Nothobranchius furzeri: one gene and its partner. The protein of the gene in region 1 interacts with the protein of each later gene in a pairwise test. Links are inferred from orthologs where the notes say so. Each region holds a gene or a part of one and is shown on either strand. Other genes may lie near its edges.

Evidence for each region.
Region 2: the proteins of tax1bp1b (region 1) and plekhn1 interact in binary tests that used the Homo sapiens proteins (3 or more experiments, as listed by UniProt). The two-hybrid records come from large-scale screens. The link is inferred for Nothobranchius furzeri from reciprocal best matches to the Homo sapiens genes TAX1BP1 and PLEKHN1.

The regions. Positions count from the first base shown.
Region 1 is NC_091757.1:59,004,384-59,009,334, forward strand, and holds part of tax1bp1b (tax1-binding protein 1 homolog B), read right to left. Parts: intron 1,127-4,951; coding exon 1,054-1,126; intron 820-1,053; coding exon 701-819; intron 615-700; coding exon 489-614; intron 1-488.
Region 2 is NC_091755.1:28,957,606-28,962,556, reverse strand, and holds part of plekhn1 (probable pleckstrin homology domain-containing family N member 1), read right to left. Parts: intron 4,550-4,951; coding exon 4,469-4,549; intron 3,999-4,468; coding exon 3,908-3,998; intron 2,350-3,907; coding exon 2,216-2,349; intron 1,926-2,215; coding exon 1,776-1,925; intron 765-1,775; coding exon 684-764; intron 613-683; coding exon 537-612; intron 331-536; coding exon 185-330; intron 1-184. UniProt on the Homo sapiens protein: Controls the stability of the leptin mRNA harboring an AU-rich element (ARE) in its 3' UTR, in cooperation with the RNA stabilizer ELAVL1.

The DNA of each region.
Region 1 (4,951 bases):
TCTAACCAAGTCTTCAGACGTATCGTGCCGCTGATTGAAAACTGTGTGCCTGAAATACAGTCGGAGCTTGGGGTAACTGATCCCAGCCATAAACGGCTTCCTTTTAGCAAAAGTCTGATTTATGCACAATACGGCTCAAAGCAAAACAACCTGTTTGAATTCCTGCTGAGACATTAAGCAAATATCCGCCTGACCTGAGCCAAGCCCAGCATTAGCTGCACATCTAGAGAGGACTCCTCCAAGCCGAGCTTTACTCGTCTCCAGTCTGACATAAACAGCAGTAAAAGGTCAACATGCAGACAGGCCTGCTCATAAACAACACTGTCAGAGTAGCTGTGTTCAAGAGGAGATAGCATCAAAGTCCCCATCCCTGAGCTAGAGCAGCCCTACTCGCTGGTAAAAACACTCAGACAGAGCTGCTTTGAAGATACCAGAACGTTGCCATCAGCCTGAGCTAAGCTAAGCGTCAGCACACCGGCTGCTCCCACCTTGTAACGATCTTCTGCTTCTGCCAGCTGCAGCTTCAGATTCTCATTAGTCTTCAGCTGCTCCTTGAACTTCAGCTCCAACTTGGCCAATTCATCAGCAAACATGCCACTACGCTCCTTTTCCTCCTACAGAAGGACAGGCGTTGAGCGTTTAGTTTGACACATTTTCACTCTGAACTAAATGAACAAAAATCTATTTTTTAAAGTCTTACAAACAGCATCTGCTTGCACTTTCTGTACTTGTCATTCCTGTCAGAAGCCTCTCTGCTGATCCCCTTTAGCTTCTCCTGGATGATAGCTTCCAACATGGGATCAGCCGAACCTGGACTGCCTGTAAAATCAGGCGTAAACAGCTGAAGCAGCCACATTATGTTCAGTTTCTCAATTAAAACATTTCATAAGTGATTTTAAATAAACAAAATCTGTGAAAATACCAAACATAACAAACTCAGCGAATAGCAACCCAAATTATCGTTATTATAATTCTGAGGCTTTTAGGTAACTCTCACAGATGCTCGGATCTGAAATTGATAATTCATTCCTGATGATCAGACTGAGCTGATACCTGGCACGGATGTGTCTGGACTTCCTGATGCTGGCACTGCCGTGGTCACTGGTGCTGCACTTCTCTTCAGGTCCTGCCCAAAAAACAAAACAGCAGCAAAAGAGAAAAGACATCAAAATCACTTAGAACATATAGAATTCTTCAGAAAACAGAGGACGGCTGGAGCCCTCAAAGTGAGAAAAAAAGTTTTAATGGATGCAAACGAGATACTAACATTTCGACACTTATTTGGTCTTCATCAGAGTAACATCAGAGTTGGTTACTCTGATGTTACCCTGATGTTACGCCGATGTTACTCTGATGTTACCCTGATGTTACGCTGATGTTACCCTGACGTTACCCCAACGTTACCCCGATGTTACTCTGACATTACTCCGATGTTATCTGATGTAACCTGATGTTACTCTGATGTTACCCTGATGTTACTCTGATGTTACCCTGATGTTACCCTGACATTACTCCGATGTTACCCCACCGTTACTCTGACGTTACTCTGAAGTTACCTGATGCTACCATGATGTTACCCTGATGTTACTCCGATGTTACCTGATGTTACTTGATGTTACCTGATGTAACAATGATATTACTTTGATGTTACCTGAAGTTACTCTGATGTTACTCTGTTATTTGATGTTACTCTGAAGTTACCCTGACGTTACCCCGACGTTACTCTGACATTACTCCGATGTTATCTGATGTAACCTGATGTTAATCTGTTGTTACTCTGATGTTACTCTGATATTGCCAGATGTTACTCTGTTACTCGATGTTACTCTGATGTTACTCTGATGTTATCTGATGTTAACTGATGTTACCCTGATGTTACTCTGATTTTACCCTGATGTTACGCTGATGGAGGGTTGTCACAGTGTGAAAATTTTACCTCACGGTTATTGTGACCAAAAGTATCATGGTTTTCGGTATTATTGTGGTATTTTTTTAAACATGTTACATTTTCAGATAACTACATAAACCCTGTATATCAGGAAAATATTGTCCTCAGTTTGTGTCTAAATTTTGCCTAAAATGTGTTATTTTGTAATTATGTTATTTGTTTACATTTTTCCCCTTTAGTCTTTAAAATACCAATATTTGCCCATAACTTCTTATTTGTTGTCTGTTTGATGTCATCATTTTAAAAATATTAGACCAGATGATACTCAGTACTCAAGCAGCCTTCTAATCAGATACTTTTTTACCCTTACTTGAGTAATAAACCCTATATCAGGAAAATATTGTCCTCGGTTTGTGTCCTTCCAGTGAGCTTTGCAGATGTGGGAAAATGTCATCAGGCGGTAATCATTGTTAAATTCATAATTATTCTTGGAGAGAGACCAACTCTTATCTGCCCCTGGGAGCCCCGTAATGCATAGCGTCATTTCAACATGGGGGTGTCCGTGACACGGTTTATATGCAGGTAGCGGCGCTGCGGCTGCTTTATATAGCGACTTGTTGCATTCTCCCTCAACCCAAATCCTCGGATCAGGCATTTTAGCTAAAACGCTAACGTTAACTTGCCTCGCGTTGACTGTAGAGTTGTGGGTGATGGTCACGCAGATGTGTCATGAGATTTGAAGCGTTCCTGCCTTTCACAAACACTTTTTCTGCACGTGCTGCAAAAAGGATAGCCGTCTTCTATAAACTGTCCCTCGGCATTCTTCAAATATCCAAAAAATGCCCGTACTTCCCACTTTGTCTTCTTTAAAGGATAATAAATGTCCTGAACGCTGCCGTCTCCTCCTTTGGCCATTATTTCAGCTTTAGCTTCAAGAAGGTTTTGGTTGTAAACAACAAAGCGCGCATGTGCCGCCAGCAACTTCAGCAGATGATACGGTGGCTGGTAAGGGTCACCGCGCCTACACCTCAGCCGCGGTAAACCCACCGAGATAATATAGTTTTTTAAAAACAAGACGTTATTATTATTGTCAACTTTTTTACCGGGGTTTACCGCTACACCGATTACCGTGACAACCCTACTCTGATGTTACCCTGATGTTACGCTGATGTTACCCCGACGTTACTCTGACGTTACTGTGAAGTTACCTGATGTTACTCTGATGTTACTCTGATGTTACCCTGATGTTACCCTGATGTTACTCCGATGTTACCTGATGTTACTCTGATGTTACCTAATGTTACTCTGATATTACTCGGATGCAACCTGATGTTACTCTGATGTTACTCCGATGTTATCTGATGTTACTCTGATGTTGCCTCATGTTACCTGATGTTACCCTGATGTTACTCTCATGTAACTCTGATGTTACCTTGATGTTACTCTGATGTTACCCTGATGTTACCTGATGTTACCCTGGTGTTACCGTGATGTTACTCTGATGTTACCCTGACGTTACCCCGATGTTACTCTGACATTACTCCGATGTTATGTGATGTTACTCTGATGTTACCCCGACATTACTCAGACATTACTGTGAAGTTACCTGATGTTACCCTGATGTTACTCTGATGTTACCCTGATGTAACTCCGATGTTATCTGATGTTACTCCGATGTTACCCTGATGTTACCTAATGTTACTCTGATATTACTCTGATGTAACATGATGTTACTCTGATATTACCCCGAAGTTATCTGATGTTACTCTGTTACCTGATGTTACTCTGATGTTACCTGATGTTACTCTGATGTTACCTGATGTTGCCCTCATGTTACCTGATGTTACTCTCATGTAACTCTGATGTTAACTTGATGTTACTCTGATGTTACCTGATGTTACTCTGATGTTACCCTGACGTTACCCTAACGTTACCCCGATGTTACTCTGACATTACTCTGATGTTATCTGATGTAACCTGATGTTACCGTGACGTTACTCTGATGTTACCAGATGTAACCCCCAAATTCCACTACCTCCGCTCCGCTGCGCTCCGCTCCGACACGAAAGCCGGAGCAACATCGGTCCCGTTGTAGTCAATCAGAGCAATTCCACTACTGCGGCCGTGCTCCGGCAGTGCGGCGCCGTGCGCCGCCCTCTGTTCCGGCGTCCGGCAAAAATAGAATCGATCCTATTTTTGCCGGACGCCGAAGCACCTCCGCAGTAAATGGACAGAAATCACAACCGTCCAACAGGAAAAGGAGCAAGCACAATTTCCGTTTTTCACAATACATCGATAAACAAAAGGCGTTTTTTGTTTCATATGCACAGGTTTAACAACTTTTAACAACTATCAGTGGCGGCTGAAGTTTAAATGCACAAAAGTAAGCCATAAATACAGTTTCCACTATCAAAGTAGTCACACTTTGTTGATCCAAACACTGCTGATCTCTCAACACAAATGATGGGCAGATTAAACAGTTCATTTCGATGCTTCTCCCAAACAACGGGTGTTTGGATCTAACTTCCGCGTTTATTGCTCGGACTGTATCGCAAGATCTCGAAAATCCTGCGCATGCTTATTTGCCCACCTCAGGTCTCCGCACCGGAGCGGAGCCGTTGTAGAGCGGGTAGCAGTAAAAATTGAGTTCGGAAGCGAGCGGCTGCGGAGGGCGGGGGCGGAGGTAGTGGAATTTGGGGGTTACTCTGTCACCTGATGTTACTCTGTTACCCAAATAATACCCTGATGTTACTCTGATGTGACCCTGACGTTACTCCGATGTTACCCTGACGTTACTCTGATGTTACCCTGATGTTTTTGATGTTACTCTGATGTTACTCCGATGTTATCTGATGTTACCTGATGTTACTCTGATGTTACCCTGATGTTACCCTGATGTTACTTGATGTTAGCTGATGTAACACTGATATTACTCTGTTACCTGATGTTACCTGAAGTTACTCTGATGTTACTTTGATGTTATCTGATGTTACCCTTATGTTACTCTGATGTTGCCCTGACGTTACCCCGATGTTACTCTGACGTTACTCCGATGTTACCCTG
Region 2 (4,951 bases), on another chromosome or scaffold:
GCACGTTCAGGGATTCATTCTAACAAACACCGGCTTCATGTACATGAGCAGACTGTTGCAGGGCGTCGTGCAGGCTAAGATCAAAGGGGGGGGGGACGGGACCATCCTTTTGTAAATCATCAACAGCTGTGAACAGTGACATCATCACACTTACGCGGTGAAAGTAAAAGGGAACAGCCCTCACCTCTGTGTTCGTAGGGGTGTAGATGATGTCATACACCGGGGGCGGGGGGCTGACAACAGGCACGTCAGCAGCTTTGAAATGCTGGATCCAGTCACAGAACTCGGTCCTATCCAGACAGGACACCACTATGGGGTTGATCATTTTGCCTGGGGGGGGGGGGGGTAAACAAAGGGTGTCATTTGGTCTGCTTGCTCGCTGGAATGTGCTTTAGTAAGGATAAAACCCTCCCATTCATAGAGGGGCTTCGTTCTATGACGGCAGCAGTTCCAAGAGGGAGGTCACTCAAAGGCACTTGGGAGTGTGTGCTTCTTATTGAGTGTTTTCAGAAGAAAACGTGATTCACTGTTCTTACCTTCAATCTTAAAGGTGTTGGGCTTGACGTCCTGACAGGGAGTGGTGACGGTAATCATGTTGAGTGGAAGTTTGCCCTGTAATCAGAGTAAATCTTTAATACTACTCACATAATCCAGGTTTGACAGTAAAGGACGGTCTGCTGCACCTTATAGAAGAGCCTGTCGCTTTCCTCTGATAGGATGATCAGGGTGGATGGGTACATCACCAGCAATCTGTCACTCTTCTCCTGAACATGTAAGATGATGACAGCATGTACACGTTTTAGATAACACACCATTCTGTGATTTTTTTTATTTTTATTATCAAGTATAAAACTCTAAAGTACACGTAATTCCAGTTTTCTAAAAGTGTTTCTCAACCTGAACACTGTTATCAGTTGTTTTTACTCTGAGGCCAACTCCAAAGATAAACGGTACCTAAGTACCTTTCATGGAAAAGAAAGTGAGCCCTGATAACTTCAGGGAAAGATAAAACCACAAGACAAGGCACAGAGTGAACCATGAGACCCGGAGCGAGTTTTTAAAAAAGCACAGGATTTATCTTTTAATTCTGCGTTGAGAGGCACGCTTTAAACCCCGCAGAGGTCGAACCAGTTTGTGAGACTTTTGAAGGTGCAGCAGATCCAGAGTTTATGTTTCTTCTCTCTTGTGGGGTGTGTCTGAACAGACAGCTGACATTCCAGCCGTGAGGTGAGTTGAGTCGCTGTGTGAGCCGAGCGAATGCCTCTCACACGCCCAAGGCACTAAATCACATCAATAGATATGCCGCTGCTTCTCATAAAGAATTAACAGATATCCCTGCAAAGGCATGTCATGATTACAGTGTTGATTAACGGCTTGTTTTGGCATCATTCACAGGGATCTTGCTTGATTTCATTCGATGGGGTTGAATATTTCACTCAGTTGGTTTATGCATCTCTGACTCTGTGGTGCAACGTGAGAATAAAACACGCTGTATAGATAAACAACCGGAAGAGAGTAATTTGCTATAAAACATGGACACCACCCTTTTCTCTCCTTGCACTGTGTTGAGGTAATGCATTGCACAATGTGAAAAACCATGTGAGTCACCTGGATTTAGAGCACTGATATTATCCTGCTTTTTATTTATCGTGAGAAAAAGTTCCCACGGCTTTGAAAACACATTAGCATTATGAGTGACAGCCTGTTACGCTGTGGGTTTCCAAAGTTTGGTAAGAGGTCTGGGGGTGGTGAGAGAAGCAGCTGTGACGTCATACCTGACAGGGCAGGTGCTGCAGTCGGACTTTGGTGACGTAGGTGATGGGGCCCAAGCTGTCCCGCTGAGAGCCCTCCCACTCATAGATGGGCTCTCTGTTGATAGACTTCCTCAGGTCCACTCTTCCAATGTGACCTTTGCTCTGGTTCATCTGTAGATACACATCAGATCACAGAAGTTAGACAGTATCACCGCCAGATGAACAGAAATATGTGTTATGATGTGGTCCAGATCTCTCCCTAGCATTCAGGCAGAAGCACGCAGTGATCATTACTCACTGTATTTACACAGTCACACATCCTGTTTTATCAGGAGCGGCTGGAAATGAGGCTAATGTGCCAGGCGGAATCAAACATGCGATCGAGTTTTGAAATGAGATGTTTGAATTGATCCCGGTGTGGCAAACACAAAAAGAAATTAGACAGCTCTCATTAGACTTACTCTCACTCTGGTGCAGGTTTCAGGCGTGGTAGCAGAACCTCCGTTCACCTCGATGTTTTCTGTGAGCAGGCTGAACCACAGGTCCATCTCCTCCTGGCTGCCGTAGTAGACAATGATGGGATTCAAGCTGACACCTGCAGGGTTCAAAGGTTACAAAGGCATGCAGAGAAAGAGTCGTTATCTGTCTTTTTAAAAAATCTTTTCTGTTATGTTAGCACAGAGTTTATTTGTTTACACCATGTTACGCAACAAGTGCAATAAATGCTAACACATGTTCAGAACAGTAAACCAGATGTGGATCCCTCACTGACCTGCGGCCTCATAGCAAACAGATCAGAGGGAATAGACGGAGTCGGGATGATGAGAGCTGCAATCTCCCTCCACCCATCAGTCCCACACATACCAAAGATAACCAGCATTTGATTTCATTCCAGTTTATGGCTTTGTACTCTAATAATCTACCGAAGCCCAAATGTTGACTTCTCCGTTTTTCAGGCCAGATCCTCATTAGGGACCGTGCCCGTAACCATTCCTATAAATTCTTTCACTCCTTAAAAAGTTTAGTTTTCTCAGTAGAAATCCAGCCAATGAAAACTCATTTAAACCTCCAGTTAGTTCACAGGGGCCACAAGCTATTGTTAAAAGCAATTATTCATTATTAACCTACGTTTACAACCACGTTTATCTAGATTATGTGGGAGCTTCCGGGAATTCTCGAACATCCTCTTGAATCGTGTGTGCTTCGTCACCATCTAACTCACCACCACTCATCTCAGAGGGGAAACATCCACTACATATCTTCCATTTGACTCAGATTTTTATTCAACTTCCTGTCAGTGATGCCTCCCAAAAGGCAAATGAGACTTCGTATTTGAATAGGAAAAGAGGAAACGTGAAGCCAAAAACTAACAAAGTAGAGCTGGGAACCTCGCAAACACAAATCCCAACAAAGGAACACCAATGAGGGCCAACGTTGTGACAGCAGGGACTTCAGCGGGAATGTAAAGATAAACAGGAGTTATTTGTACACAGTTCTGGATTCAGTTTAAAGCTTTTAATATTTAATAAAGAAATATGGGGATTTGTTCAATTAAGTTAAAGATCAAAAACTTTTTTTCATTCATAAAGGACACAGACCAGATCTGTTGAATGTACCATGGATTATACTCTTTGACGAGACGAAGAGCGATAGCCGGGCTTTTCTATGCGACAGCTGGGTTCGCAGAGATGCACCTGTTGTCTAACAAGCTTTTAAAAGCTAGTTTACCCCCCGACCGGAGGGGACGGAGGCCCGGCTTTAGTCGGTCTTGGGTCAGACGGGAGGTGAAAAGGTGAAGAGGGTCGTTGAAACGTGATAACACAAGCAGGAAATGCCAAAACCGTGAAATAGTGTGGCATTTTTAATAGATTTTTTTTTTACTTTAACTAATGACAGATTAGACACACCATCAATGGCTACAAAACAATGACACTTATACTTATTACAGAAGGAGAATTCAGCCTCCGCGCCCACAGTCATCCAGCTTTGGCTGTTTAAATCAGACCCCGACATAGACACTCTGGATTTTTATTCGGAAAGACTGATTATACAAACTCAGCAGAGCCAATAAAACAAAACTGACAATTATAAAATACCAGCGCTGTGCGCCAACACCCACACAGTTTTTGTGTGCATGATTTATTTTTTCTCACCGTTTATTTGGAAGGCATATTCCTGAGGTTGGCTGTGGTTGCAGTTCTGCTGCAGGTTGGAGATGGTGAGCTCTTTCAGTGGAAGAGTCCCCTGTGGGGAAAAAAAATCAATTTACACTTTTTAAGATGGGAATATTTACAAATTTAGAACTTATTCGCATCAATCCTCTCTCTTAGCGTTTAAAATGAAGATTGAACTCTAGAGTTGTGTTCACCAAAAACAAAACAAGCGAGTTTGACAAGGACTCATAAATCAGTGATGTATCCCTGTCTGTCTTAGTTTTGAGGTAATCTGAAGTCTGACTAACACACAGGTGCTTCGTTGTCTCTTTTTAACATGAAGCTGAGCTCTGGAGAGCAGTGAAATGATGATTAACGGCACTTCTAAAAGGTTACGAGACAGCTGACGAAACTTAATCATACTTTCTGTGCACCAAATAAAAGTTCTGGTAGGCGGGATGCGAGTCAAAAATTAGGATTACAAAAGATTACATGATACGAAACCTATAAAACTCATGAAAGAGCTCCTAAAATAGCGTGGATCGGAGGGATGGAAAGTACCTGGTATGTTAGTCCAGTGGTGTTGTTTGAGACAAAATGAAGGTGTGTTTGGAAGAGATCCAGGTAGCAGTCATGAATATCCTGTAGAGAAATTAAGAAAAAACGTGTCCTGGTTTAATGGGAATTAATATTTAACGAGTACTGATCAGGATTCTCCCCAACAGGAATCAGATTTATCAGTTAATCTGATGATTCATAGAAATGTTCCTCCCTAAAAGACCAAACACCTTCTATGCAGTTTATTTTATGTTAAAAACACAGTGTTCTCTCTCGCCATCATGACGTTATTCCTTTCATCAATCTTTTCTCCCTGCTCTCTGACAGAGCTGTTGTGCCGCAGCTCTGAAACACTGCAACTCCCCACCACAAGCAGCCGGCATGTCCTGTATCAGCCCGTGGGATCAGAGCAACTCTCTCTCTCCCCCGAGGTTCTCTGCTGGGAGATGTTTCACAACCGCAGCAGGAGGAAGCGTGCCCAAACAC